Linked DNA regions of Macaca fascicularis. The main gene of each other region encodes a partner of the protein of the gene in region 3 in a complex. Links are inferred from orthologs where the notes say so. Each region holds a gene or a part of one and is shown on either strand. Other genes may lie near its edges.

What was found.
Region 1: SNRNP200 (region 3) and GPKOW share a complex: the UniProt entries of both Homo sapiens proteins name them as parts of the minor spliceosome. The link is inferred for Macaca fascicularis from reciprocal best matches to the Homo sapiens genes SNRNP200 and GPKOW.
Region 2: SNRNP200 (region 3) and DHX16 share a complex: the UniProt entries of both Homo sapiens proteins name them as parts of the minor spliceosome. The link is inferred for Macaca fascicularis from reciprocal best matches to the Homo sapiens genes SNRNP200 and DHX16.
Region 4: SNRNP200 (region 3) and LSM2 share a complex: the UniProt entries of both Homo sapiens proteins name them as parts of the U4/U6-U5 tri-snRNP complex. The link is inferred for Macaca fascicularis from reciprocal best matches to the Homo sapiens genes SNRNP200 and LSM2.
Region 5: SNRNP200 (region 3) and ARMC7 share a complex: the UniProt entries of both Homo sapiens proteins name them as parts of the minor spliceosome. The link is inferred for Macaca fascicularis from reciprocal best matches to the Homo sapiens genes SNRNP200 and ARMC7.
Region 6: SNRNP200 (region 3) and LSM5 share a complex: the UniProt entries of both Homo sapiens proteins name them as parts of the U4/U6-U5 tri-snRNP complex. The link is inferred for Macaca fascicularis from reciprocal best matches to the Homo sapiens genes SNRNP200 and LSM5.
Region 7: SNRNP200 (region 3) and RBM48 share a complex: the UniProt entries of both Homo sapiens proteins name them as parts of the minor spliceosome. The link is inferred for Macaca fascicularis from reciprocal best matches to the Homo sapiens genes SNRNP200 and RBM48.

What each region holds. Positions count from the first base shown.
Region 1 is NC_088395.1:49,285,877-49,289,893, forward strand, and holds the start of GPKOW (G-patch domain and KOW motifs-containing protein), read right to left. Parts: upstream 2,801-4,017; 5' UTR 2,780-2,800; coding exon 2,604-2,779; intron 1,839-2,603; coding exon 1,684-1,838; intron 1,585-1,683; coding exon 1,460-1,584; intron 1-1,459. UniProt on the Homo sapiens protein: RNA-binding protein involved in pre-mRNA splicing. As a component of the minor spliceosome, involved in the splicing of U12-type introns in pre-mRNAs.
Region 2 is NC_088378.1:141,982,697-141,986,623, forward strand, and holds the start of DHX16 (pre-mRNA-splicing factor ATP-dependent RNA helicase DHX16), read left to right. Parts: upstream 1-1,127; 5' UTR 1,128-1,295; coding exon 1,296-1,502; intron 1,503-1,621; exon of another isoform or gene 1,622-1,677; intron 1,678-2,912; coding exon 2,913-3,160; intron 3,161-3,243; coding exon 3,244-3,406; intron 3,407-3,742; coding exon 3,743-3,799; intron 3,800-3,927. UniProt on the Homo sapiens protein: Required for pre-mRNA splicing as a component of the spliceosome. Contributes to pre-mRNA splicing after spliceosome formation and prior to the first transesterification reaction.
Region 3 is NC_088387.1:1,362,617-1,366,116, reverse strand, and holds part of SNRNP200 (U5 small nuclear ribonucleoprotein 200 kDa helicase), read left to right. Parts: intron 1-140; coding exon 141-249; intron 250-2,120; coding exon 2,121-2,229; intron 2,230-2,678; coding exon 2,679-2,868; intron 2,869-2,965; coding exon 2,966-3,130; intron 3,131-3,320; coding exon 3,321-3,442; intron 3,443-3,500. UniProt on the Homo sapiens protein: Catalyzes the ATP-dependent unwinding of U4/U6 RNA duplices, an essential step in the assembly of a catalytically active spliceosome. Plays a role in pre-mRNA splicing as a core component of precatalytic, catalytic and postcatalytic spliceosomal complexes.
Region 4 is NC_088378.1:139,906,455-139,910,382, forward strand, and holds the start of LSM2 (U6 snRNA-associated Sm-like protein LSm2), read left to right. Parts: upstream 1-1,128; 5' UTR 1,129-1,291; coding exon 1,292-1,381; intron 1,382-1,722; coding exon 1,723-1,790; intron 1,791-3,928. UniProt on the Homo sapiens protein: Plays a role in pre-mRNA splicing as component of the U4/U6-U5 tri-snRNP complex that is involved in spliceosome assembly, and as component of the precatalytic spliceosome (spliceosome B complex).
Region 5 is NC_088390.1:81,488,916-81,492,897, reverse strand, and holds the start of ARMC7 (armadillo repeat-containing protein 7), read right to left. Parts: upstream 2,801-3,982; 5' UTR 2,508-2,800; coding exon 2,417-2,507; intron 2,334-2,416; coding exon 2,190-2,333; intron 1-2,189. UniProt on the Homo sapiens protein: As a component of the minor spliceosome, involved in the splicing of U12-type introns in pre-mRNAs.
Region 6 is NC_088377.1:97,812,674-97,816,614, reverse strand, and holds the start of LSM5 (U6 snRNA-associated Sm-like protein LSm5), read right to left. Parts: upstream 2,801-3,941; 5' UTR 2,632-2,800; coding exon 2,508-2,631; exon of another isoform or gene 2,499-2,507; intron 2,304-2,498; coding exon of another isoform or gene 2,211-2,303; exon of another isoform or gene 2,029-2,210; intron 2,005-2,028; exon of another isoform or gene 1,898-2,004; intron 1-1,897. Other genes in the region: late secretory pathway protein AVL9 homolog, read left to right, coding at 2,211-2,303. UniProt on the Homo sapiens protein: Plays a role in pre-mRNA splicing as component of the U4/U6-U5 tri-snRNP complex that is involved in spliceosome assembly, and as component of the precatalytic spliceosome (spliceosome B complex).
Region 7 is NC_088377.1:128,829,428-128,832,927, reverse strand, and holds the end of RBM48 (RNA-binding protein 48), read left to right. Parts: coding exon 1-6; intron 7-1,796; coding exon 1,797-1,907; 3' UTR 1,908-2,207; coding exon of another isoform or gene 2,208-2,294; 3' UTR 2,295-3,103; downstream 3,104-3,500. UniProt on the Homo sapiens protein: As a component of the minor spliceosome, involved in the splicing of U12-type introns in pre-mRNAs.

The DNA.
Region 1 (4,017 bases), on a different chromosome or scaffold from region 3:
CCTCCCAAAGTGTTGGGATTACAGGCTCGGCCGACTCCAAGGTTTTTATGCTGAGTGAGAGGAAGGATGGATGGAATTTTTGGTCACCTGATATGTATAAAGCTGCAGGAGGAGGTTTATAGAGGGAAAAATTAGAGGAATGAGGTTAAAGCTGGAACAGGATGAAAGGATGAAGAGGGAAGTGAGGATCTTTTTTTTCTTTAAAGATGAAGGAGCTGGGCACAGTGGATCATGCCTGTAATCCCAGCACTCTGGGAGGCCAAGGTGGGTAGATCACCTGAAGTCAGGAGTTCAAGACCAGCCTGACCAACGTGGCGAAACCTCGTTTCTACTAAAAATACAAAAACTAGCCAGGCGGTAGTGACACGTGTCTGTAATCCCAGCTACTTGGGAGGCTAAGGCAGGAGAATCGCTTGATCCCGGGAGCGGGAGGTTGCAGTGAGCCGAGATCGTACCACTTCACTCTAGCCTGGGCCACAGGGCAAGACTCTGTCTCAAAAAACAAAAAACAAACAAACAAAAAAAAGTTGAAGGAAATCAGAGCACATCTGAAGGCTGAAGAGAACAGTTCAGTTGAAAGAGAGTGTTCTGGGGCTGTAGGAGAACTAGACTCCAAAGAAGCAATGCAAGAAATTTATGAAAGAAGAGGTGAAAAGTCAGGTCTGTGGGTATGAAAGACAGACTTGGTTACTCCTGTAGACACGCCTCTCACATCTCCTCGTCACCTTCCATCATCACTCCTTCCCATTCACTCCAGACACACCACATGTTGCCTCACTGATGGACACACACCACATCGATTTTCTGCCACTATGCCATTGCTTGGGCTGTTACTACCAACAGGAACACTCACTCTGTTCTTCCCTCTCACTAAACCCTACTTATCCTTCCAGACCACTCTGGTCTAAGTCCCCAGCATCTCTAGCCTGGACTACTCATCCCCTTGCTTCCACCTTCACTAATGAGTCTGTTCACAGCAGCCAGAGGGATGCTGTCAAATCATAAATCATATTTCATCTATGCTCAGGGCTTGCCTAGGCTCTCATCCCACTCAGAGTAAAAGCCAAAGTCCTCACAATGGCCTACAAGGCCCTGCCTTGTCTAGCACCCCCATCTCCTTTCTGACTTCGTCTACTATCCCTTCCCCTCACTCATTCCACTTCAGTCACACTAGTCTCTTTGGTGTTCCGCAAACACTCTAGGCAGTGTCTACCTTCAGGGCCTTTACATTTCCTGTTCCCTTTGCTGCACACCTCATTCAGATAATCCTAGGATTCAAGTACGTTTTTAGCATCCAGATATCCAGATTCATTTGGTAATGCTTCCAAAAAGGATGACAGGAGAAAGGACAGGTGGCGGGCCTCTAGCACACAGACTTTCCCTGCTATGTGCAGGGACAAAGCCTAGCAGACAGGGCAAAGAAAGGCTGGGGCAGGAGGGGGACAAGGGGCCAGCTCACTGTCTCTGCCCGGGGTTCGCTGTCTGCCCCTTCCCCGCTGGGGGTGCATCCTTTCTGGATCATGGGGATAGCGAGCGTGGGGTCGACACCCGCATTCTCTCTCTCTTCCAGAGACTTCTTGGATTCTAAGGGAAGAATAGGAGGGAGCAATGAAGTCCCACTCTATCCTTCCACCTTCTTCATCTTCTTCCTTCACTGGGGAAGGGTAAAGGGGCATCACTCACCCTCAATGAGCTCCTTCACAGCCTGGGACAGCACCCCATCTGCCAAGGCCTCAGTATCTGTGGATGGCCCAGGGGGCCGGGCTGGTGACTGCCTGCGATGGCCATTCTGGATCAAAGGGATGACGAGTTCCTTGGGGGCTTCCTGGGGCTTCACACTGATGTGGACACAGAGGGGTGGGGTTGGGAGAATGGCAGTGTCAGTGGGTCACACTCCTTTATTCAGAGAAAACACGAGAGCCAAACTCACCCCAGCCCCACAGACCATGCCTTCTCTACTCCATGTCTGGATCTCCTGTACCTCTCTGATCGTGCATTCTTTGGATTATCCCCCCCAGTGCCCCCAACTCGTAAATGTCAGTGCCTTCGAGAAATAAGTCCTGGACTCTCTGTTTAACTCAAGACCGGCTTCCACAATGGCCCACAAATCACTATCTTCAGCCTAGACCCTCCCTAGCTCCAGGTTCCCAAACAGCTTCCCAGATGCCTGATTCTCTTCTGGAAATCCCTCCCTCAGACTCTCCTCTCCTCATTAAGCTGATGGTGGCCTCCATCAACCTGAATCTGCCGCTCCATCCCGTTCCCCATATCAGAGAAGCCCCACCACTTCAGCTGAGACACTAGCAGGTCCTGTCATTTTCTCATTCTTTCCTTCTCCCAAAACGCACACACCTCAGTGTCCTCAAGTCCTAAAGACACTTCTTCTCAGTGATACATCCTCTCTTCGCAATTCCCACGGCTATCAGGCCCAATTTCCCCACCCCTCTTATAAACTCCAGCCTTCTGGCCTCCACGAATTTACTCAGGCTGTGCTTCAGGCTTAACAGGTCACTGTCACCAAGACAAACGACTGAGTGAGATTCCTCCCTCCCGCTTACGCCCACCGCAGCGATTTCCAAGGTGTGAAAGACCCGGCGCGTCACCTCTGCAGCTCCCTCCCTTCCACGGTTTTCAAGAAATCCTTCTCCTCCGGAGATGGCCTCGCGCCGTCTCCCGAGTCGGCCAGCCGCCTCCGTGCGGACGTGCGAGTGAAGCCGAATGAAATTGGGGCAGTGGAAGCAGCCGTCAGCGGCAAAACACCCTCTTCGGAGTCAGCCATCTTGCCCCTTTTCCCAGGCCTGCGCGCTGCTTGCTGGGAAATTTAGTTTGGGTTCAGATGGCTAGGGGCCGGCCAAAGTGCGTAAAAACTACCTTCCCATCAACCACTGTGGCACCGGCGGGAGGGGGCGGTAAGGGGCCGTGGGAAGTAATTGTCGCTCTTTCAAACGTCGTGGGAGTGCGTCGCGCCAAGTGCACAGGGAAATGTAGTTTTTTTTGTTTTGTTTTGTTTTTGTTTCTTTTTTTTTTTTAAAGATGGAGTCTTGCTCTGTTGCCCAGGCTGGAGTGCAGTGGTGTGATCTCGGCTCACTGCAACCTCTGCCTCCCGGGTTCAAGCGCTTCTCCTGCTGCAGCCTCCCGAGTAGCTGAGGCTACAGGCATGCGCCACCACGCCCGGCTAATTTTTGTATTTTTAGTAGAGACGGGTTTCACCGTGTTAGCCAGGATAGTCTCCATCTCCTGACCTCGTGATCCGCCTGCCTCGGCCTCCCACAGTGCTGGGACTACAGGCGTAAGCCACCACGCCCGGCCGGAAATGTAGTTTTTAGCGAGGTAGGCATGGTGGAAGGTGGATTCATTCTTGCCAGGCATTGATTCCTTCGTGTAGGCGTTTGACAAGTATTTATGGAGCGCCTACTGTGTGCCCTACTCATGTGGGAAGTGTTGATGAAGTAAATCATTTAGAAATAATCAGCCAGGTGTGGTGGCGTGCACCTGTAGTTTCATTTAGCCCACAGGCTGAGGCAGGAGGATGGCCTGAGGCCCAGGAGTTCGAGGATGCACTTAGCTCTTATTGCGCCACTGCATTCCAGCATGGGTGACAGAGCGATACCCCGTCTCTAAAAAAGAAAAAGTCAGGGTCGGGGGCGGGGGAAGGAGTGTCAGTTGTCTACAATAGTAAATAATAGACATAAAGTGCCTACTGGCCAGGCGTGGTAGCTCATGCCTGTAATCCTAGCATTTTGGGAGGCCTAGGCTGGTGGATCACCTGAGGTCAGGACTTTGAGACCAGCCTGACTCATATGGTGAAACCCTGTCTCTACTAAAAATACAAAAATTAGCCGGGCTGGTGGTGGCACCTGTAGTCCCAGCTACTCAGGAGGCTGAGACAGGAGGATTGCTTGAACCCGGGAGGCAGAGTTTGCAGTAAGCCGAGATCCCGCCACTGCACTCCAACCTGGGCGACAGAGCGAGACTCTGTCTTAAAAAAGAAAAAGAAAGAAAGAAAGAAAGAAAGAA
Region 2 (3,927 bases), on a different chromosome or scaffold from region 3:
AAAGATTCTCTTGTCTCAGCCTCCAGAGTAGCTGGGACTACAGATGCACACCTCCACACCTGGCTAATTTTTTGTAGAGATGGCAGGGTCTCACCATGTTGCCCAGGCTGGTCTCAAACCCCTGTTCTCAAGAGATCCTCCTGCCTCAGCCTCCCAAAGTGCTGGGATTATAGGAAGAGCCACTGCACCTGGCCTTGCTTACTTTTAAATAAGCAGCCACCAGTGATTTTCTCAAGATGTTAGCAAAAATGCAGAAAACAGTTTGCCTGTTCCTTAGTTTGGAGATTTTGTCTTTAACAATTTTCCCCAGTTCCCCAGTTTCTTCCTGCCTAGAGGTCTTCCCTTATGCCTGACCTGTCTTCACTCCTGCTGCAGGCAAACCAATCCTAGCAAAGGTCACTTTTTTGTTTGTTTGAGACAGAGTCTTCCTCTGTCGCTCAGGCTGGAGTGCAGTGGTGGGATCTCGGTTCACTGCAAGCTCCGCTTCGCAGGTACAAACGATTCTCCTGCCTCAGCCTCCCGAGTACCTGGGGCTGCAGGCGCACGCCACCACACCCGGCTAATTTTTATATTTTTAGTAGAGACAGGGTTTAGCCATCTTGGCCAGGCTGGCCTCGAACTCCTGACCTCAAGTGATCTGCCCGTCTTGGCTTCCCAAAGTGCTGGGATTACAGGCGTGAGCCACCGCGCCCGGCCAACACGGCTAATATGCTTCATGAGCATGGACCCCATCTTCCAATCTGAAATAGAATTTCGGTTGTCCCTTACTTTGTAGAGTTTTTGGCTCTATAAAACTTCCATACTTTATTTATTATGTATCCTGTCCCTCCCCCACCGCAAAATGTAAATTTGGTAAGGAACTTTTGATTTGTCCTCTGCTAGATCCCAGCGACGGAAAGCAATGAGCACACATTAGGCCTCCATTAAATTGATTTCACTTGTTGAATGAATGCGTTAGGGAAGCACTCACGAACTGACCATCAGGGGGCGTCAGAGAAACTGGATAGAGGCGGAAATGAAGAAAAAAGAATTACTCCGAACTTTCAGGCATGGTTCCGCGAGGTTTGAACTCGCTCGGCCACCGTAGTGCTTAGAGGCCGGAAAAAGTGCAGCCCCTTCCGGGCTTTGCGGTACCGGACGACGGCTTTGGGATGTCGGAAATTGATCCTAGAGGTCCCAAGGTAGCCGCCTTGCGAAGCTGAGGCTCCAGCCGAGGGCTCCAGGCCTCCGACCGGCCCAGCAGTGAACGGGGCTGCCCGACGCTTCAGGGCTGGGAGCAGGGAGCGTGGGTCGCCATGGCGACGCCGGCGGGGCTGGAGCGCTGGGTTCAGGACGAGCTGCACTCGGTGTTGGGGCTGAGCGAGCGGCACGTCGCCCAGTTCCTGATCGGTACTGCACAGCGCTGCACGTCGGCCGAGGAGTTCGTGCAGCGCCTACGAGACACTGATACTTTGGATCTCAGTGGACCGGCCCGGGACTTCGCCCTGAGACTCTGGAACAAGGTGTCGGCAGGGTGGGGAGGGGTCCTGTGATTTGTCCCGATGAGGCTGGCCTAACGGTCCATCGAGGAGTTAAGAAAGCTCAGTTCACAAGCACTTATTCTTTGTCCGTTGTCGCCTAGGTACTGTGCTAGCTGCTGGACGCCCAGCTCAGTGGAGAAGATTGAGGAGGGCTTAGGTGTGTCGGGTTAAACGCAATAGAACGGTGTTTTTCGAACTCTTAACATGCATCCAGGGCCCTTGTTAAAATGCAGATTGCGATTCAGTAGGGATCTTAGTTTCTGCATTTCTTTCTTTTTCTTTCTTTCTTTCCTTTTTTTTTTTTTTTTTTTTTTGAGAGACACAGCCTCGCTCGCCCTGTCGCCCAGGCTGGAGTGCGGTCATAAGATCACGGCTCACTACAGCGTCGATCTCCCTGGCTGAAGCGACCCTCCCATCTCATCTTCCCCAGTAGCTGGGACTATGGGCATGCGCCACCACCCCCGGCTAATATCTTTTATTTTTATTTTTATTTTTAGAGACGAGGCCTTGGTGTGTTGCGCAGGCTGGTCTCTAACTCCTCAGCTCAAGCAGTCCTCCTCTCTCAGCCCCGCAAAGTGCTGGGATTACAGGCGTGAGCCACCTTGCCCGTCCCCCCTCAGCTTCTGAACTTCCTTTCAGCCGTTTAATTAACAGAGGAGGCCCGGTGCAGTGGCTCACACCTGTAATCCCAGCACCCCAGAAGGCTGAGGCAGGAGGATCATTTGAGCCCAGGAGTTCGAGACCAGCCTGGGCAACATAGTGAAACCTCCCTACAAAAAATTTAAAAATTAATTGGGCGTTGTAGTGTGCACCTGTGTTTCCAGCTACTTAGGAGCCTGAGGTGGGAGGATCACTTGAGCCCAAGAGGGACAGAGTGAAACCCTGTCTGTAAAAAAAGCCAAAAAGCTGTGGGCCCCATTCAGGATGATAAACATGGGGTGAAGCCATGAGGAAGACAGAATGAAGGCTGGTTAGCTGGTTTAAAACTAAGTAATTGTGCCCGGGTGCGGTGGCTCACGCCTGTAATCCCAGCACTTTGGGAGGCCCAGGCAACTGGATCATGAGGTCAGGAGTTTGAGACCAACCTGGCCAACATGGTGAAACCTCATCTCTACTAAAAATACAGAAATTAGTCAGGTGTGGTGGCAGGCGCCTGTAATCCCAGCTACTTGGGAGGCTGAGGCAGGAGAATTGCTTGAACCTAGGAGGTGGAGGTTGAAGTGAGCCGAGATCACACCATTGCACTCCAGCTCCGGGTGACAGACCAAGACTCCATCTCGGCGGGCGGGGGGAGACTAAGTAATTGCTTAAATTAGGAACAGAGCTAGAGCTAAGTGGGAGGGCAGAGATCAGGAGTTGCTCAGACCTCCTTATCTTCCCCTCTACTGACAGGTACCACGAAAGGCAGTGGTAGAAAAGCCAGCGCGGGCAGCAGAGCGAGAGGCCCGAGCCCTGCTGGAGAAGAACCGATCTTATAGGTTGTTGGAAGACAGTGAAGAGAGCAGTGAGGAGACTGTGAGTAGGGCTGGAAGCAGCCTCCAGAAGAAACGTAAAAAGCGGAAACACCTCAGGAAGAAGCGTGAGGAAGAGGAGGAAGAAGAGGAGGAAGAGGCTTCTGAGAAAGGGAAGAAGAAAACAGGGTAAGTCAGAAGCAGGGCGAGGGAGGATGGGGCAGGCTGAAGTGTGCTCAATGCCCTTATTTAATCCCCTGGATGGGCTGCAGGGGGAGTAAACAGCAGACAGAGAAGCCAGAGTCAGAAGATGAGTGGGAACGGACAGAGCGTGAGCGCCTTCAGGACCTGGAGGAGCGTGATGCCTTTGCTGAGAGGGTTCGACAGCGGGACAAGGATCGGACTCGAAATGTCCTGGAGCGGTCAGACAAGAAGGTGAACAGGAGCAGCACGTTCTGTAAATCCCCAAGATCCCAGGGTGAAATGTGAGGTTGGCTGTGATTGCAGAGATGGTGATCTCTGGGAAGACAAGGGGCTTTCTCTAGTGAGATGTTCCCCTCTGTGGGGAGAGATGAGGTGAGAGAAGCCCTGTGCATCCTGTGGCTAAGGCAACTCTACTGTACCTGCAATCATACAGATCCCTCACTGAGAGGGGACATTTTTTGTGTTAGGGTACATCTGAATGATCCTTGTGATTCTAAAGAGGAGCAGCTGTCAGTGTGGGGGCTCTTTGGCCTCACACCCCTCTATTCTTGTTTTTTTTTTTTCTAGGCTTATGAAGAAGCTCAGAAGCGCCTCAAGATGGCCGAGGAAGACCGGAAGGCCATGGTGAGTCCCAGGGCCCAGGGACCCAAGATCAGAAGACAAAAGGGAAGACCGTCTGATAGAGTGGTTACGTATAGGGAGAGAGAATACAGAGGAAGCACGGTGTGGATGCTGATGGAGTGGTCAGGTCT
Region 3 (3,500 bases):
ATGTTAGACCTTGTTCCTAGCCCGCCTTGCTGTGAGTTCTGAAACGTAACACAGGGTAAGCCACGGCCTGCCCATGAGGTAGTGAACCTGCTTCACCCAGAGACCCCTGTCCTCAGCCTTCTCTCCCCTTTTCTGCTCAGGGGCTATCCAGGTGGTGGTGGCTTCTCGGAGTCTCTGCTGGGGCATGAACGTGGCTGCCCACCTGGTAATCATCATGGACACCCAGTACTACAATGGCAAGATCCACGCGTGAGTACAGCTGGTGGTCTGTGTTAGCCCAGATCTTCCTAAAATGAGTGTGAATCTGCAGACACACAGAAAGCAAGCTAGGATGAAGGAAAGGTGTTAGGGAAGTTAACAGCTGAGATGCCACCAGAGCCAAGTATTTAGGAGTTTTGTGTCTCAATACCTAGGCTCACATTTGTTTTTTAGTCATTGTGCTTCCACATTCCGCAGTTGGGAGAGGTAGGCAGTTAGCGCCAGGAGGAATGTTTGACATTAGGTCATTAACCTCAAACATCTTGTAGATTAGGAAAAGCGACTTGGTCAAGGTCATACACCTATATAGTGACAAGAAGCTAGAAGAGTGCTGAGCGCGGTGGCTCATGCCTGTAATCCCAGCACTTTGGGAGGCTGAGGCAGGCGGATTGACAAGAAGCTAGAAGAGTGCTGAGCGCGGTGGCTCATGCCTGTAATCCCAGCACTTTGGGAGGCTGAGGCAGGCGGATCACTTGAGGTCAGGAGTTCCAGACCAGCCTGGCCAACACGGTGAAACCCCGTCTCTACTAAAAGTATAAAAATTAGCTGAGCGTGGTGGCACGTGCTTGTGCTTCCAGCTACTCAGGAGGCTGAGGCAGGAGAATCAGTTGAACCTGGGAGGCAGAGGTTGCAGTGAGCCAAGATTGTGCCATTGCATTCTAGCCTGGGCAACAGAGTGAGATTCCATCTCAAAAAAAAAAAAAGGCCAGGTGTGGTGACACGCGCCTGTAATCCCAGCTACTTGGGAGGCTGAGCAGGAGAATCGCTTGAACCCGGGAGGGGGAGGTTGCAGTGAGCCGAGCTCGCGCCACTGCACTCCAGTCTGAGCAACAGAGCGAGACTTCATCTCAAAAAAAAAAAAAAAAAAGTTAGAAGAGTCAATCATTCTCAGAAAAACATCTGCTTTTTTTTTTTTTTTTTTTTTTTTTTTTTTGAGACAATCTTGTTCTGTCATTTAGGCTGGAATGCAGTGGTATGATCTCGGCCCACTACAGCCTCTGCCTCCCAGGCTCAAGCAATCATCCTGCCTCAGTCTCCCAAGTAGCTGGGACTACCAGCATGTGCTGCCACTCTCAGCTAACTTTTGCTTTTTTTTTTTTTTTTTTTTTTTTTGTATAGATGGGTTTTCACCGTGTTGCCCAGGCTGGTCTTGAACTCCTGAGCTCAAATGATTCACCCACCCAAAGTGCCGGGATTACAGGCGTGAGTTATGGTGCCTGGCCCAATGCTTAATAACTTTTTCCCGAAATGCGGATTAGTTTGAAGTGAATTTTATTTACGGGTTCATTTTTAATGTTTGAGGCTGCTTCTAGGTTGGGTTAAAGTCAGGTGACTTGATGACTCATGAAATGCACAGCTGTGAAGTTTGGAAAGTGCGGCGGTGCGCACCTGTGGTGGCTGAAGTGCGAGGATCCCTTGAGCCTAGGAGGTCAAGGCTGCAGTGAGCCGTGGCTGTGCCACTGCACTCCAGCATGGACAGTAGAGCAAGATGCTCTATCAAAAAACAAACAAACAAATAAATAATTTTTTTAATTAAAGGAGAAAAGTTTGGGAAGTTTGACTTACATATTTGATCCTCGAATAGGAAGTTATTTTGGTTTTGGCATTAGATAGTTTTGTAGCTTGGTTCATGGCACTTGAGCAGCAAATTCATGGCCCTTACACTGAATGCTAAAATGATGTAGAGGCCAGCCAGTGAAGCCAGTTCTAAGTGCAGAGATTCATAAACAGAGTCGTGCTGTGATTTGACCATGCCTCCCCGTATTTACATTTTACTGTTAATTGGCGAAGGGAGTCGGGCCTCCTGAGCGTGGTCTCCGTGTTGAGGCGGCTTTTCCTTCTTTCCCCGCATCTGTCACCAGCTATGTGGATTACCCCATCTATGACGTGCTTCAGATGGTGGGTCACGCCAACCGCCCTTTGCAGGATGATGAGGGACGCTGCGTCATCATGTGTCAGGGCTCCAAGAAGGTCAGTCCTGGATTCATGCAGCCTCTTGGATCCAGAGCCTCAGAATGGATTCTTTAATCCTTTTGATAGACGTCTTCAGTAATTTTAGTCTCTTAACTTCTGTCTCTCTTATTTACACAATTCTTTTGTAACGAGCCTGCCACCCGTTTGGAATTTTGCTGCCTTTTGCTTTTGCTGCTGCCGTTGGCTCCACGTGTTGAGGGCTTTGCCCGCTAGTTGGTTCCCTCCTTCCTCACTGGGCTGCCCGCTGCTCTGCCCTTGTGACTTGCTGTGCCTCTGTTCCCACTGCGTATTGTCGCCAGTGACGCACTTTCTAAACCTGTAGCTTCTTCCATTTTGGTATTAGTTAGGTCTTGCACGGGGACCATGCCCTGTTGATTTGCCCTTGGCCCTTTGTGACCATGTTGTCACTAATTCTTGATTAATGCTGCTGCTTCTCCAACCCACAGGATTTCTTCAAGAAGTTCTTATATGAGCCATTGCCAGTGGAGTCTCATCTGGACCACTGTATGCATGACCACTTCAATGCTGAGATCGTCACCAAGACCATTGAGAACAAGCAGGACGCTGTGGACTACCTCACCTGGACCTTTCTGTACCGCCGCATGACACAGAACCCCAATTACTACAACCTGCAGGGTCAGTGGGCTTGGGAGCACACGTGATTCTTTGGTGCTTCCCACAGCCTTTGCTGGGCGTTTTCTCAAGGCTCCCCACTCACCTCTCACCTCCATAGGCATCTCCCATCGTCACTTGTCCGACCACTTGTCAGAGCTGGTGGAGCAGACCCTGAGTGACCTGGAGCAGTCCAAGTGCATCAGCATCGAGGACGAGATGGATGTGGCACCTCTGAACCTGGGCATGATCGCTGCCTACTATTACATCAACTACACCACCATTGGTGAGGCCCGGCACGGCCCGGGTCCTGTCTGTAGGAGCCTTCTCACACAGGGGTCAGGAGCCCACTGGGATGAGAGGTCTGCCCGTGTCCGTCAGCGGGATGACACTGCAGGGGAGAGCAGGGCAGCCCAGGCAGTTCTGCTCCTTCTCCGCTTGCTTTCGGCTTCTCTCAAATGTCCTTTTTCTGTCAGAGCTCTTCAGCATGTCCCTCAATGCCAAGACCAAGGTGCGAGGGCTCATCGAGATCATCTCCAATGCGGCAGAGTACGAGAACATTCCCATCCGGCACCATGAAGACAACCTGCTGAGGCAGGTGAGGACGGCAGCTTCAGGAGAACGTCCTGGGAACAACGAACTCTGCCTGTGTGCCC
Region 4 (3,928 bases), on a different chromosome or scaffold from region 3:
TCTCTGTCACCCAGGCTGGAGTGCGGTGGCGGGATCTCAGCTCACTGCAAGCTCCGCCTCCCGGGTTCACGCCATTCTCCTGCCTCAGCCTCCCGAGTAGCTGGGACTACAGGCACCCGCCACCTCGCCCGGCTATTTTTTTGTATTTTTTAGTAGAGACGGGGTTTCACCGTGTTAGCCAGGATGGTCTCGATCTCCTGACCTCGTGATCCGCCCGTCTCGGCCTCCCAAAGTGCTGGGATTACAGGCGTGAGCCACCGCGCCCGGCCAATTTTTTTTTTTTTTTTGAGACGAGTCTCGCTCTGTCGCCCAGGCTGCAGTGCAGTGGCATCATCTTGGCTCCCTGCAACCTCCACCTCCCGGGTTCACGCAATTCTCCTTCCTCAGCCTCCCGAGTAGCTGGGATTACAGGCGCCCGCGACCACGCCTGGCTAATTTTTTTTGTATTTTTAGTGAAGACGGGACTTCACCATGTTGGCTAGCCTGGTCTCGAACTCCTGACCTCACACAATCCATCCACCTTGGCCTCTCAGAGTGCTGGGATTGAAGGCGTGAGCCACCGCCCTCGGCCTTTTTTTTTTTTATCAGCTGAATTTAAGATTAAAAACATTTTTTAATTTTATTTTTTGAATTTTATGTTTTTACTTTAACAAATATAGAAAAGTGCACACTTCATAATCTTCACAAACTCCCCACAATTCTCGATAGGATGTGTGTAGAGGGCACGAACACATCACGCTGTGGACGGCAGGGTTATGGAAAACAAAACCTTTTGAGCTCAGACGCCGAGTGCCTCCACCCGCCTAGCAGCCCAGGCTAGGGTCCGCGCCTGCGCAATGGGAGCCGGCCGGCCCTGGAAGAAGTCGGAACGAAGGAAACCCCGCCCCTTTCCCGGCTTCCTCCTCCCCTCGGTTTTACCCAGCTTGCGCTCCCCAGCCGCAAGTCGGCCGCGCTTTACCCTTCAGCGCTTGGAGGGTTCTGCGTCCCTTCCCGCTGCGCCTGCGCGGTCCCGCCTCGCCCCACGCGCGGGCTCGCGCTTCGGTTCTCCCAGACCTGGTCTCAGCATCCGGCTCTTTTCTCGCTCCGGCCCGCTGCCCGCTGCGCCAGCACCATGGTGGGTACCGTGACGTCAAAAGGGGTCGCCCTCGGGGATCTCGGACGGTTGGGGCAGGGGGGTCTGGCCTTTGTCCCCCTAGGCTGGAGTTAGGTCCGGAGTTTTTATCTTCATCGTTAGTCCTGTTCCTCAAGTTCGTTGAGGAGACACCTGAGAGCAAATGGGATTTTTTTTTCCATGATGAGGAAAAAAACCCCAACCCTGAGAGAGATTCAGTGGGGACAGCGGGAGACGGAAAAGTTAGACCTTAGAGCACTTCTCTGCCAGGCAAGCTTCGGCAGGGTGCGGGTGGGATGTTTTCTGTAATTCATTGAAAGGAGTGGGCAGGTACCCGAGAAAGGTGGTCGATTGAGAGAGCACACTGGGGAGGCCGAGGTATGCAGGGCAGAGCCTCTCTGGGACTTTAAGTGATGGGCTCAATGCAGTGTGCAGAATAATTTGGGCTCCAGCCTTTCACCTCTCAACCAATTATTCTTTCCTGTGAAATTTTGAGAACTGTTAGGGATGCAATGGGGTTCACAATACCGGTATTTGGTAATACTGTCAAGGGACACTCCTCCCTACCATGTTCCTTCCCACATGATGGTTTTCCCCCTCTCTCCCAATAGCTCTTCTATTCTTTTTTCAAGTCCCTTGTGGGCAAGGATGTGGTCGTGGAACTCAAGAATGACCTGAGGTAGGTACCTGTTCCAACAAGTCTGTTGGGGGTGGGTGTGCCCAGGGCCCTGGAACCTCTTTAATTTGAGAAATATTTGAGGGCTGGGTGAGGTGGAATATGTACAGAAGAAATAAATGGCCGGGTGCGGTGGCTCACGCCTGTAATCTCAGCACTTTGGGAGGCTGAGGTGGGCGGATCACGAGGTCAGGAGATCAAGACCATCCTGGCTAACACGGTGAAACCCTGTCTCTACTAAAAATACAAAAAATTAGCCAGGCATGGTGGCAGGCGCCTGTAGTCCCAGCTACTTTGGAGGCTGAGGCAGGAGAATGGCGTGAACCTGGGAGGCAGAGCTTGCAGTGAGCCCAGATCACGCCACTGCACTCCAGCCTGGGTGACAGAGCGAGGCTCTGTCTCAAACAAACAAAAGAAATAAATGGGTGGGGTGCAGTGGCTCACGCCTGTAATCCCAGCACTTTGGGAGACTGAGGAGGGAGGATTGCTTGAGCCCAGGAGTTTGAGGCTGCAGTGAGCAGTGATTACTCCATTGCACTCTAGCCAGGGCAATAGAGCAAGACCCCATCTCTAAGACAAATTTTAAAATTTAACAATAAATAAATGCCTTGTGCCTTAAATTTACAGATAAGCTTGGGGATTGTATTGTGTATTGGAAAACAATACAAAGCAATATACAGTTTAAAGAGTAAATACTGGTCAGGTGTGGTGGCTCATGGGCTGGACGTGTGGCTCATGCCTGTAATCCCAGCACTTTGGGAGGCCGAGGTGGGTGAATCACGAGGTCAGGAGTTCAAGACCAGTCTGGCCAAGATGGTGAAACCCCGTCTCTACTAAAAATACAAAAATTAGCCAGGCATGGTGGCAGGTGCCTGTAATCCCAGCTACTTGGGAGGCTGAGGCAGGAAAATCGCTTGAACCTGGGTGGCAGAGGTTGCAGTGAGCTGAGATTACGCCACTGCACTCCAGCCTGGGTGACAGAGTGAGACTCTGTCTCAAAAAAAATAAATAAAGAGTAAGTACTAGGCTGGCCATGGTGGCTCACACCTGTAATCTCAGCACTTTGGGAGGCTGAGGCAGGAGGATCACTTGAGTCCAGGATGTCGAGACTAGCCTGGGCAACATAGAACCATTTCTATAAAAGATTAGCCAGATGTGGTTTACATGCCTGTAGTCCCAGCTATTCGGGAGACTGAGGTGGGAGGATCACTTGAACCCAGGAGGTCGAGGCTGCAGTGAGCCATGATTGTACCACTTTACTCCAGCCTGGGTGACAGAGGAAGACTGTCTCAAAAAAGAACAGGCCAGGCCAGGCGCAGTGGCTCACGCCTGTAATCCCAGCACTTTCGGAGGCCGAGATGGGCGGATCACGAGGTCAGGAGATTGAGACCATCCTGCCTAACATGGTGAAACCCCGTCTCTACTAAAAATACAAAAAATTAGCCTGGTGTGGTGGCGGGCGCCTGTAGTTCCAGCTACTTGGGAGGCTGAGGCAGGAGAATGGCATGAACCCAGGAGGTGGAGCTTGCAGTGAGCCAAGATGGCACCACTGCACTCCAGCCTGGGCGACCAGAGCGAGACTCCATCTCAAAAAAATAAACAAAAAAACAGAACAGGCCATAGGCTGGGCATGGTGGCTCATGCCTGTAATCCCAGCACTTTGGGAGGCTGAGGTGGGTGGATCACAAGGTCAAGAGATTGAGACCAGCCTGGCCAACATGGTGAAACCTACGTATTAGATATGCTACTGTGTATCTAATACCTAGTATAGGCCAGTTGTATGATAGGTGCTTAAGGAAAGAAAAATAATATCTGAAGACCTATTGACTAAGCACTATTCTGAATACATTTATTGATTGATTTCTCAAACACTCCTTAGTAATATGTACTATTGCTGTTATACATATGAGGAAACTGAGGCTTAGATCAGCTATACCACTTGTTCAAGTCTACAAAACTAGTAAGTGATACAGAACAGAAATATGATTATGTCCAGCTTTTTTCTTTTTCTTTTTTCTTTTTTTTTTTTTGAGATAGTCTCGCTCTGTCGCCCAGGCTGGAATGCAGTGGTGTGATCTCTGCTCACTGTAAGCTCTGCCTCCCGGGTTCATGCCATTCTCCTGCCTCAGCCTCCCCAGCAG
Region 5 (3,982 bases), on a different chromosome or scaffold from region 3:
TGTTATGAAATGAGGGTCTGTTTAGGGTTACAAGCGATTTATCTCTTGGGGCCAGGAGTTCAAGACCAGTCTGGGCAAGACGGTGAGACCGTGTGTCGACAACAAATTAAAAAAAAAAAAAAAAAAAAAAAAAGCCGAGTTCGAGACCAGTCTGGGCAACACAGTGAGATCCTCTCGAAAACAAATTAAAAACAAAAAAAAGCCGGGCATGGTGGTGTCCACCTGTAGTCACAGCTACTCGGGAGGCTAAGGCAGGAAGACTGCTAGAGCCCAGAAGTTTAAATTTATGGTGAACTATGATCACACCACTGTACTCCAGCCTAAGTGACACAGTGAGACCCTATCTCAAAAAAAAGAAAAAGATTTAAGATAATTTATGTAGTGACTTCCTTCCAATGGGTATAATACATAATACGTAAAGAGGGGAAAGAAAGAGTAATTTTACAGTGGAGAAGCCTGACAAGACTTCAGCCAGGTGATCACACGCGTGTTGCCCAGGCTGGAGTGCGGTGGCTATTTACAGGTGCAATCATGCAATCGTAGCACACTACAGCCTCAAACTCCTGGGCTCAAGCGATCCTCCTATCTGGGGCTACAGATGAGCACTGTGCATGGCTTGAAACAGGGATTTTTGTTTGTTCTCAAAATTTTGTCTGCTTCAAACTATTTCCCACGGCCTAGATCTAAGCTCCGGCAAGCTCTGGTGCCGCTTAACTCTCTATCCTCTTTTTGTGCCATTCTCCACTTCACTATAACGATCCTGCCACATTCATCTTCCTTCTGGCTCCTTCCTGTTTTAAGGCCTTTGCCCATGCTGTGTCCCTGCTAAAATGCCTTTCTCATGATGGCCAAAACGGAAGTAACCACCACCTTCTACTGCTGTTTCTCATCACCCCATTTATTTGCTGCTGAGCATCATCTTTTTTGTTTGCTAACCACCTGTCCCCCCTACTAGAATGTAAGCTCCTGAGGGACAAACACTTTCCCTAACCTGTTCACCATACTCCAGCATTTAGAGCAGTAGTTTACATATACGGTACATGCCCAGTAAATATCTGCCCAGTGAATAAATCAATAGGTCTTAAGATCATAACTACAAAAGAAGCCGTAAGTTACAGACTGCAAGCCATCTCTGCTTCTCCTGATATGAAAACACTAAATATGAGTTACTTTTGTTTCTAAGACAGATTCTCATTCTGTCACCCAGGCTGGAGTACAGTGGCCCAATCCCAGCTCACTGCAGCCTCGTCCTCCCAGGCTCAAGCAATCCTCCCACCTCAGCCTCCTGAGTAGCTGGGACACCACGCCAGACTAATTTTTTTTTTTTTTTTTTTTAGCAGAGATGGGCTTTTGCCAGGCCGGTCTTGAACTCCAGGACTCAAGTGATCTGCCTGCTTCGGCCGCCCAAAGTGCTGACATTACAGGTGTGAGCCACCTCACCCACCTGAAATTGTTGTTGTTTTTTTTTTTGAGACGGAGTCTCGCTGTTGCCCAGGCTGGGGTGCAGTGGCGCCACCTCGGCTCACAGCAACCTCTGCCTACCGGGTTCAAGTGATTCTCCTGCCTCAGCCTCCCGAGTAGCTGGGATTACAGGCGCCCGCCACGCCCGGCTAATTTTTGTATTTTTAGTTAGAGACGGGGTTTCATCATGTTGGCCAGACTGGTCTCGAACTCCTGATCTCAGGTGATCCGCCTGCCTCGGGCTCCCAAAGTGCTGGGATTACAGGCGTGTGCCACCGCGCCTGGCTACAAAACTGCTCTTTTTAAAACATCTTTTTTTGAGACATGGTCTCACTCCGTCGCCCAGGCTGGAGTGCAGTGGCGCAGTCTCAGCTCACTTTGGCCTCTGCCTCCCGGACTCAAGCAATCCTCCTGCTTCGGCCTCCAGAGTAGCTGGGCCTACAGGTGCACACCACTGTGTGCGGCTAATTTTTGCTCCCGCTTAGCTGGGATTACAGGCACTCGCCACCATGCCCAGCTAATTTTTGTACTTTTAGTAGAGACGAGGTTTTGCCATGTTGGCCAGGCTGGTCTCGAACTCCTGACCTCAGGTGATCCCCCCGCCTCGGCTTCCCAAAGTGCTGGGATTACATGTGTGAGCCACCACGCCAGGCCCCAAGGACTCACTTGTAACTCACTTATCTCACCCCGGCCCATTTAGCCATCTAGCGAACGGGCCCAGCCCTTACCAATAGCAAACTCAACCAGGGTCTCGTTCTCCTCCGACAGCGAATCGAGAAATAAATCCAGGACCTGCAGCTGCCGTAGATACTCGTAGTTGCTGGGGTCATAAGCGAAGTTGGCGAGGTTGGCGAGGACTTGCTCCTTGGCGTCTGCAACGGGAAAGCGGCACTGGAGCCAGGTCCGGGCGGCGGTCACAGCCGACCCTGTCACCTGGTCCCACCGTGGCTCTCACCTTGGCTCTGGGTCTCCTGGAATTCCGTGACCAGCGCCTGCAGGTATCCCAAACGCCCGACGTGGGGGTCCAACTTCGGCTTCTGGGCCATGGCCGGCGTGACGGAGGACCCCCAGGGACGGGCGGGCGGGTGGCAAAGGTGCAGGGGGAAAGCCGAGCGAGACCCTCACCCACTCTCCACCTGTCTGGCGAGGGAAGACGCGGGGACGGCAAATGGGTTTCTTTCTTGGGTTCAGACTCTGCAGTAATTTGCAGCTGGAAATGGAATGTGGGGAGATGGGCCGGGGTCTCAGAATCCTGTAGGAGTTGGGTCTGAAAATCGAAATTGGGGCGCGGGAGACAGGGAACCGTCTGCGGGTTGGGGCTGGCGGAGTGGGTACTGGCGCCCAGCCCCCGGCTGCCGGGCTCGGTTCCAGGCTCCCGGCGGAAGCCGCGCTGTCCCCACCCTACAAGGCGCGGAAGGGGCGGGACGAGGCAGGCGAGGGGCGGGGCCGTCGCCGAACTCCTTGGCGCGCGTGCGCGGCGCGCTTTCGGTTTTCTGGCTGCGGAAGCTCTTTAGCCTGCGCTGGAACCCGCTGCGACACGCTTCGCCGAGGGAGGTATGGGCGTGGGTGGGTGTACTGCGAGGAGCAGCCTTGTCTCCCATATCCTATGTCCAGCTGCAAATTATTGCAAAATCTGAACGCAAGAAAGAAACCCACTTGCCGCCCCCGCCAACAGGAAGGCGGGTGAGGGCCTCTCTCGGCTTTCCCGCCCCACCTTTCCCACTCTCCCGCCCGGCCCCCCGGGTCCTCCGCCGCCCCGACGTGGCCCAGAAGCCGAAAGTGAGGCACCCATGTCGGGCGGCTGGAATGACGTGAGGAGCAACTCAGGAGCGCAACGGAGTCTGGCAGCACCCATGTTGGGAGGACGTCGAGGCAGAAGCACCTCCAGGATCCCCATGGCTGGCGGGGCGCGGCCCAGCCTCCTTGACCAGGACGCCCCTTTAGAGCGCGGGCGTCAGCTCCTTACCCACCCCCATCAGTCTTTTGACCCTTTTGCAAAAAGCGTAGCGACCCCGACCCGTCCTCTATCCCAGCCCCGAGGTGAGTCCGCCACCTCTGGACAGAAATCAAAGGGGACGGGGTCATGTCCTGGTGCTTTTTGTCAGCCGGGTGGATGGCGCGCGCCCGGGGCAGCACCGGGGAGCCCGAGGAAGAGCCTTGTTTGTGGCGCTTTCGGGGCTTTCTGGATGCTGAAGCCCTTCGGCCGATTCCTTCTCGAGGATTCTCGGGAAGCAGGTGTGTGATGGATTACTACTCGTGGTTACAGGGAACAAAGCACCAGGGAAGGAGGTGGCCTTACTACACTCCCATCGCGTTTGACAACGTAGGGGTAGAGAGGTGGCTTAGGCTGTGAGTGTCCTGAGAATGCAAAAGTTGTTAATCTAATTGGAGTCACTTGTGTTAAAAAAAAAACAGAACAAAAAAACCCGGACAGAGTCGGAGAAAACCATGACAAGAGGGTTCTCATGCATAAATATCTGATAATGAAAACTATCACAAAGATTCTGCAAAAACCCCAACC
Region 6 (3,941 bases), on a different chromosome or scaffold from region 3:
GATGGGGTTTCAACCATGTTGCCCAGGCTGGTCTCCAACTTTTGGCCTCAAGTGATCTGCCCGCCTCGGCCTCCCAAAGTACTGGGATTACAGGCATGAGCCACCGTGCCTGGCCCTGTTTTTGCATACATCTTTTTTTTTTTTTTTTTTTTTTTGAGAGGAAGTCTCGCTCTTGTCCCCCAGGCTGGAGTGCAATGGCGCAATCTTGGCTCACTGCAACCTCCGCTTCCCAGGTTCAAGCAATTCTCCTGTCTCAGCCCTCTGAGTAGCTGGGATTACAGGTGCCTGCCACCACGCCCGGCTAATTTTTGTATTTTTTAGTAGAGATGGAGTTTTACCATGTTGGCCAGGCTGGTCTAGAACTCCTGACCTCAGGTGATCCACCTGCCTTGGTCTCCCAAAGTGCTGTGATTACAGGCGTGAGCCACCACGCCCGGCCCTTATAGATATCTTTAAAAGGTGTTCATTAGACAGTAATTTTAGCCATGTTAATTGTGGAAAATACCAAGACAGTTTATATCAAGAAAATGTTAATAGTTAACACATCACACAGTTGACATCTCAAAACAGTTAATATATTAAGAAAACAGTTAATATATTCTGCATACAGGGAGCAATATAGTTTTACAGTTTTCTGAGCCAATGCCAATAATTTTGTAATACAGAAATGTATAGCAACATCTTGAAAAATGTCTACAGTATTAGCATTAAAACAGTTCTACTGAATCACAGAAACTAAATTTGATTTAGGAAGCCTACTGTTTTTCTCCGCTATGCTTAGATTAGAACAGAGCTCCTTATTTTTCAAGACCAGAAGTGCAAAATATCATAGTTACTGTAGTAATCTCTAATTCTACTTGAAGCAGACTCCTATCCTTTAGGTTATTTGAAAACTGTCGTAGATAAGACTTGTTAAATCTGCTAGTGTTTCTAGAATGCACTTTAAATTGACATGATTCACTGCTTAAAAAAAAAAAATTGCAGTACAGTCAGTAATTAAAAAACCCTGGTGACAACAGAACCCATATATTTTGTATTGACCTTCCTTCCTCCCACTCCACCAAAGCAGAAGCTAAAAACCTACAACCTACACATATCAACCTGCTCCTCCGCTGCTCATAACCATTTTTCAGGCGCAGAAGGAAGGGGTTGTGGGGGCTGGGCTTCATGTGGGGCAGGTGGGAGGAGTTGCAAAGGAGTCAGGTTGAGAGGCTTGGACTCTGCTTTCAAGGTAATAGGCTCAGAGTACTAAACCCAAAAAGAGATGGAATGAAAATAATACTCTTTTAAAATCGCAGGACTAGAATAACCATTTTACAGGTATCCAAGTAAACTTCCTTTATTGTCAAGGATATTCGGTTTCAGGTTTTAAATGCGTCTCAGATTGCTACACATAATATTTAAATGAAGGGGAAAAAAGCTCTAGAAACAAACAAACAAGAATTCTCGGGTAAGCAAGTAATTTAAAGGCTGAATACACAGATACGCAACCTCACCAGTATGCTCCACGTTATTACATATTTGAGAATAAGGACGGAGGCCACAGAGGCAAAGGCAAGGAGGTGAAGGAATCGGACACTCGGAGAGTGAATCGAAAAGATGTGAAAAAGCAAGGAAAACAGAAAAGAAGAGGGAAGGGGGAAAACTTTAAGGAGGAAAATGAGAAGGCAAAAGAGAAGGAAGTGCTTTGAGATTGAATCCAGGGAGGAAAAAGCAGGTGTGCCACGCCGCACCTCCAGGTCCCGCGGACACTACAGGCTCCGCAGGCCCAGCCGCCCGGGTCACGTAAGCCCCACCCCGCTGCTCCACGTCAAGGCCCCCTCCGGTCCCCCCCCCGACCCCCCGAACCCCCGACCCCCCGCCCCCGTCCAGTCGATCGCTTTTTTCCTAGCCCCACCTAACTCCCCCAGGCTCCACCTCGGTCTCTCAGAACCCCCAGCCGTCAGGGCCCTCCCGGCCTTGCCCCGCCCCGCCTCGCCGGCAGCTGCCGCCGCGTCAGGTGACAGCCCGGAAGCTGCGGAAGCGGATGAGAGAAGGGCGGCCGCGGCCCTGGGGGCGGGAGCTGCTCTCCCTCCACAGATCTCCCGGTGCGGCCCTCATGTGCTGCGCTCGCTGACACCCGAAGTCCGCGGCTCTCCGCACACGGTGGGGTCGTCAGACCCGCTGCCCTTGGCAGTCGAAGTCGTAGTGTGGGCCCGCGGCGGCCGCCCATGGAGAAGGCCAGGAGAGGCGGGGATGGCGCCCCCCGGGGGCCCGTACTGCACATCGTGGTTGTTGGCTTTCACCATAAGAAGGGCTGCCAGGTGAGGAAAGGGCCCGCCCCCGCCCCCGGCCGTTCGGGCGTTCGCGCCTCCCGGCGCCCCCTGCCTTCCTTCTGTGTTCCCAGCTCGCGTCGTGCAGTCCTCCCCACCGCGCCCGCGACCCTTCGCCTCTCAACCTGACTCCTTTGCAACTCCTCCCACCCGCCCCACATGAAGCCCAGCCCCCACAACCCCTTCCTTTTGCACCTGAAAAATGGTTATGAGCGGCGGAGGCGCAGATTGGTATGTGTAGGTTGTAGGATTTTAGCTTCTGCTTTGGTGGAGTGGGAGGAAGGAATCGAAGACCGGCCCCACTCTCTTCCCCGTCCATTATTGTCTCCACTGGCTTTCTGGGTGTCCACCTATAATGGGAGTCTAGAAAAATTCAGTGCTTGGACTCTGCTTTCAAGGTAATAGGCTCAGTGGGCTTGCATACTAATACTTCAGGTAGCTTGCGCACCTGCAGCCTCTGTAGAAAAATCAGCTTCCTTTGTTTATCTGATGGAAGCCTTGGAATCTGTCGTGTTAAGTACGGTTGTCGATTAACCCTGCCTCCCCCTTCCCATTGGTCCTTAGTTTTGCTATTTCATCTTCTCCGGATTTTACCTTTTGGTGAGAGATTAATCTCTCCAGATCAACCGCAATAAGAGAAAGCGTATTACCGACCAAACCGTTCAAATATAAAGGTGTTTTTCAGCAGCCTCATTGAATCTTTAATCCATCATCTGAAATGGAATATTTGCGATCTGTATATTGAAGGCAAGAGAACAAAATAGAAACAGGATTATCTAATGAGCAAGCAAACACTGGAAGGGAATGATGTCATAATGTGCTAGTGAACAGTAAATTGAAATGCTTTTTTGAAGTATTAAAAATAGTAATGGCCACCACTAGCTCATGAAGCGTTTAGTTTCTTGCATTCCGCAGGAAATGTAACATTTTAGAAGACGTATTGGCAAAAATTAAGTTCTCTAGGGAATAACAGAAAAAGTGATGGGAGTGAAAAAACTGTGCGTAATTTTGAAATATATCCTCACACCTGTAATGGCAGCACTTTTAGAGACTGATATGAAAGGATCACTTGAGCTCAGGAGTTTGAGACCAGCCTGGGTAACAAAGGGAAACTGTCTCCACAAAAAATTTTAAAAATTAGCTGCATGTGATAGCGCACTTGTAGTCCCAGCTAGTCGGGAGGCTAAGTTGGGAAGATCTCTTGAGCCCAGGAGGCTGAGGCTACAGTGGCCCTTGATCCCACCACTGCACTCCTGCCTGGATGAGAGAGCAAGACCCTGTCTCAAAAGAAAATTTTGGCGCCGGGTGCGGTGGCTCAATTCTGTAATCCCAGCACTTTGGGAGGCCGAGGCGAGTGGATCACCTGAGGTCAGGAGTTCGAGACCAGCCTGGACAACATGGTGAAAGCCCCGCCTCTACTGAAAATACAAAATTAGTTGCACGTGGTGGCACATGCCTGTAATCCCAGCTACTTGGGAGGCTGAGACACGAGAATCGCTTGAACCCGGGAGGCAGAGGTTGCTGTGAGCCTTGCACTCCAGCCTGGGCAACAAGAGCGAAAAAAAAAAGTTTTGAAAATTGTGTATTACGTGCATAAGTCTTATAATGACTGGTCTAGAATCTGTTCTT
Region 7 (3,500 bases), on a different chromosome or scaffold from region 3:
AAAGAGGTAAGGTTATTTTTAAAAACTGTTCTAAGAGACGATTTGGTTATAGGACTAAATGGGGAATTATTTGTGGGAACAATAGTATTGTAATTTTTTTCACTTTTTAGTTTTTTGATGTGTTTTTCTATAGTTCTCTGTTGAAATAACTGAATTTGGCTAACATTTTATTTGCTTTGAACTGTTAATACTTGCTTTAAACAATGAACAGACATTTTATATCACTGTAGATACAAAATATTAAAGCAGTGGTTTCAGCTAATTACATCAATCTGTGAGAGTGGTGCCCAGGCCTGCCATTTTTGTTAAAAGCTCCCCAAGTAGTTCTAATATGAGCCAAAGTTGAGAAGGAAAATTCCATTTCTCTCAGATTTAGAGTTATTACAGTTTATATCAAAGTAAAATGCTTAATTTGCTTTTGTGATAAAGAGCAATAGAAGGTGAGATTTCTAAAAATTGGGCCTCTAGGTATGCATTTCAAATGTAGACTTTATTTTATTTTATTTGTTTATTTATTTATTTATTTTTTGGAGACAGAGTCTCACTCTGTCGCTCAGGATCTACGGTCACTGCAAGCTCTGCCTCCTGGGTTCACACCATTCTCCTGCCTCAGCCTCCCAAGTAGCTGGGACTACAGGTGCCCGCCGCCATGCCAGGGCAAGTGTTTTGTATTTTTTAGTAGAGACGAGGTTTCACCATATTAGCCAGGATGGTCTCGATCTCCTGATCTCGTGATCCACCCGCTTCAGCCTCCCAAAGTGCTGGGATTACAGGGATTACAGGCATAAGCCACCACGCCCGGCCTCAAATGTAGACTTCTTAAATGATCAGGATCAGATTGTGCTGCCTAGGTAGTCTTTTTTTTTTATGTCATTTATATAATCATTTTCCATTTCCTAAGCACAAATAAAGTTAACATCTGAGTTAGCTTTCGAAAGACACCTTTTTGTGGGATGGGGTAGGGGCTACTATTACAAATCATAAACTGAGGGTTATGACATTCTCTTATACTTACTCCAAGATGCAGAAAGTGCTTTTCACATGGTTTTACTCGTATTTTACAATGTGATTAAGGGAGGCTCAGGTAGCTTAATTTCTTATATGTACATTTTTTACCTGAAAACATCTGATTAAAGAGGCATTATTTATTAATAATTAAAATCCATGGGCACAGTTTTGAAGCCGCCTTTAGTTTTTCAGTTTAGGCTGGGGACAGTGGCTCACACCAATAATCTCAGCACTTTGGGAGGCTGAGGTGGGAGGCTGAGGTGAGCAGACTGCTTGAGCCCAGGAGTCTGAGAGCAGCCTGACCAATGTGATGAAACCCCATCTTTACCATAAATATACAAAAATTAGCCAGGCGTGGTGGTGCACTCTTGTAGCTACTTGGGAGGCTAAGGTGGAAGGATCACTTGAATCTGGGAGGCGGAGGTTGCAGTGAGCCAAGATCATGCCACTGCACTCCAGCCTGGGTGACAGTGTGAGACCCTGTCTCAAAAAAAAAAAAAAAAAAAGGTTTTCAGTTTGTGCTTCCACCCTTCCTTCCTTCCTTCAGTTGCAGCTGAACTGAGGCATAGACATAGATACGCAGCTGTCTCAGCCAGAGCTGATTACATTTTAAAGAAAAACGTGTGAAGTCCAAATTCTAGGTCCAGAAATAGTAGAACAACAAAAAAAAAATGTTAAATACAGTTTACTATAGTTTCTAATAATTTTCCATTTCAAATGAAGACTCTTTGCTTTGGCTTATTGTACACTCTCTCTGATAGTGTGTTTGCCTTTCCTTTTTCTCCTAGGAAATTGAGGATTATACTGCTTCCTGCTCATTTCTCCAAATGTTTTCATCCCCCCAAATCTATCAAACATTATCAGTGTTTCAAGAATGCAAAACCAGGATATCTATCTGAATCTGTAATATAACAAGTGACTTTAGATCTATAAAGGAATGTTAAAGTGGAGCATATGTTCACTTTTCTTCCTCCAAATTTTTTTTCTTTTTAAGTAGCTTTAGAAATTTTACTCTCATCAGTGTTTGAACAGAAAACTTCACTCTGTGCCTAGGTCATAGGCTGGACCTTGAACTTAAGCCAACTCTGCCTCAAAAGCCGCATCAAGGATTGAACTATTGGATGTAGTCTTACCTCTTCTAATAGCTTTACTCCTGTGCTATAGAAACTAAATTTTAATGGTTCTTTTTTTTTAATTAGGTAATTTCATCTGTGCCAAAGCATCCAGAGGACAAGCCGGAAGATGTACATACAAGTCATCCATTAAAACAAAGAAGAAGAATATAGAGTGCCAGCAGCAAATTAGTACTTCCTGAAAAGAACATTTATTATTTATTTTTAGCCTGTCATTTTAATTCTTCTAGAGATTTTACTGCTGGTATTTTTTAATGCACTCCTCTTTGTAATTTCATTCAAGCTATTTATCTAAAGTCATTTCTTTCTTTCTTTTTTTTTTTGGGAGATGGAGTCTTGCTCTTTTGCCCAGGCTGGAATGCAATGGCATGATCTCAGCTCGCCGCAACCTCCACCTCCCGGGTCCAAGCAATTCTCCTGCCTCAGCCTCCTGAGTAGCTGGGATTACAGGCGTACACCACCATTCCTGGCCAAGTTTTGTGCTTTTTTAGTAGAAATGGGGTTTCACCATATTGGTCAGGCTGGTCTCGAACTCCTGACCTCGTGATCCTCCCACCTCGGCCTCCCAAAGTGCTGGGATTACAGGCATGAGCCACCATGCCTGGCCCATTTCTTTTTTTTTCGACCCATACTTAATGTTGCAGAAACTATTCTTGTCATAACATTACCTCTCATGTACAGTAATTATATGTAAATTAATTGAAGCAAATATGGAAACTACAATAACGATAGGCAACCAGCATCTGTTTCTGATTATAATACAAGTATTGAATGAGCCATTGAAACACTAGAAGTCAGGGTGTTTCCGAATGCCAGGATTTCAAAATCAAGACAGTCTGTGAGGTAAAAAGTAGATTAACTATTAGAACAAAGCTGAAATTAGAATCTTATATGCTTTCATTAACTTTTAAGAAGAATTTGCTTGACCTGTGGCAATCCAAAAATAAATCAGTATTTATAAATTTTAGACTTCTGTTACTGCTTCTGGCATATCCACACTTTTTTCTGTCAGTGGGTCACATAATTGGAAATTTCAGTACATCTAGGCTGTCTCCATTTTCTTTTTCTTTTTAGTAGAGACAGGGTCTCATTGTGTTGCCCAGGCAGGTATTGAACTCCTGGGCTCAAGTGATCCACTCACCTTGGCCTCCCAAAGTACTAGGATTACAGGTGTGACCCACTACACCTGGCCATTTTCTTTACCGGTAAAAATAACTTGAGAAGGTCCATACCATGGCATGTTGTTTTCATTTCTCCCTATCTTTAATGGCCTCTTGCCTAGTAGATTGAATTTGAACATACCAGTTAATAAGGTTCTGTTTCAGCTATGATTTACTTGTAGCAGGACAAGCCGCAGAC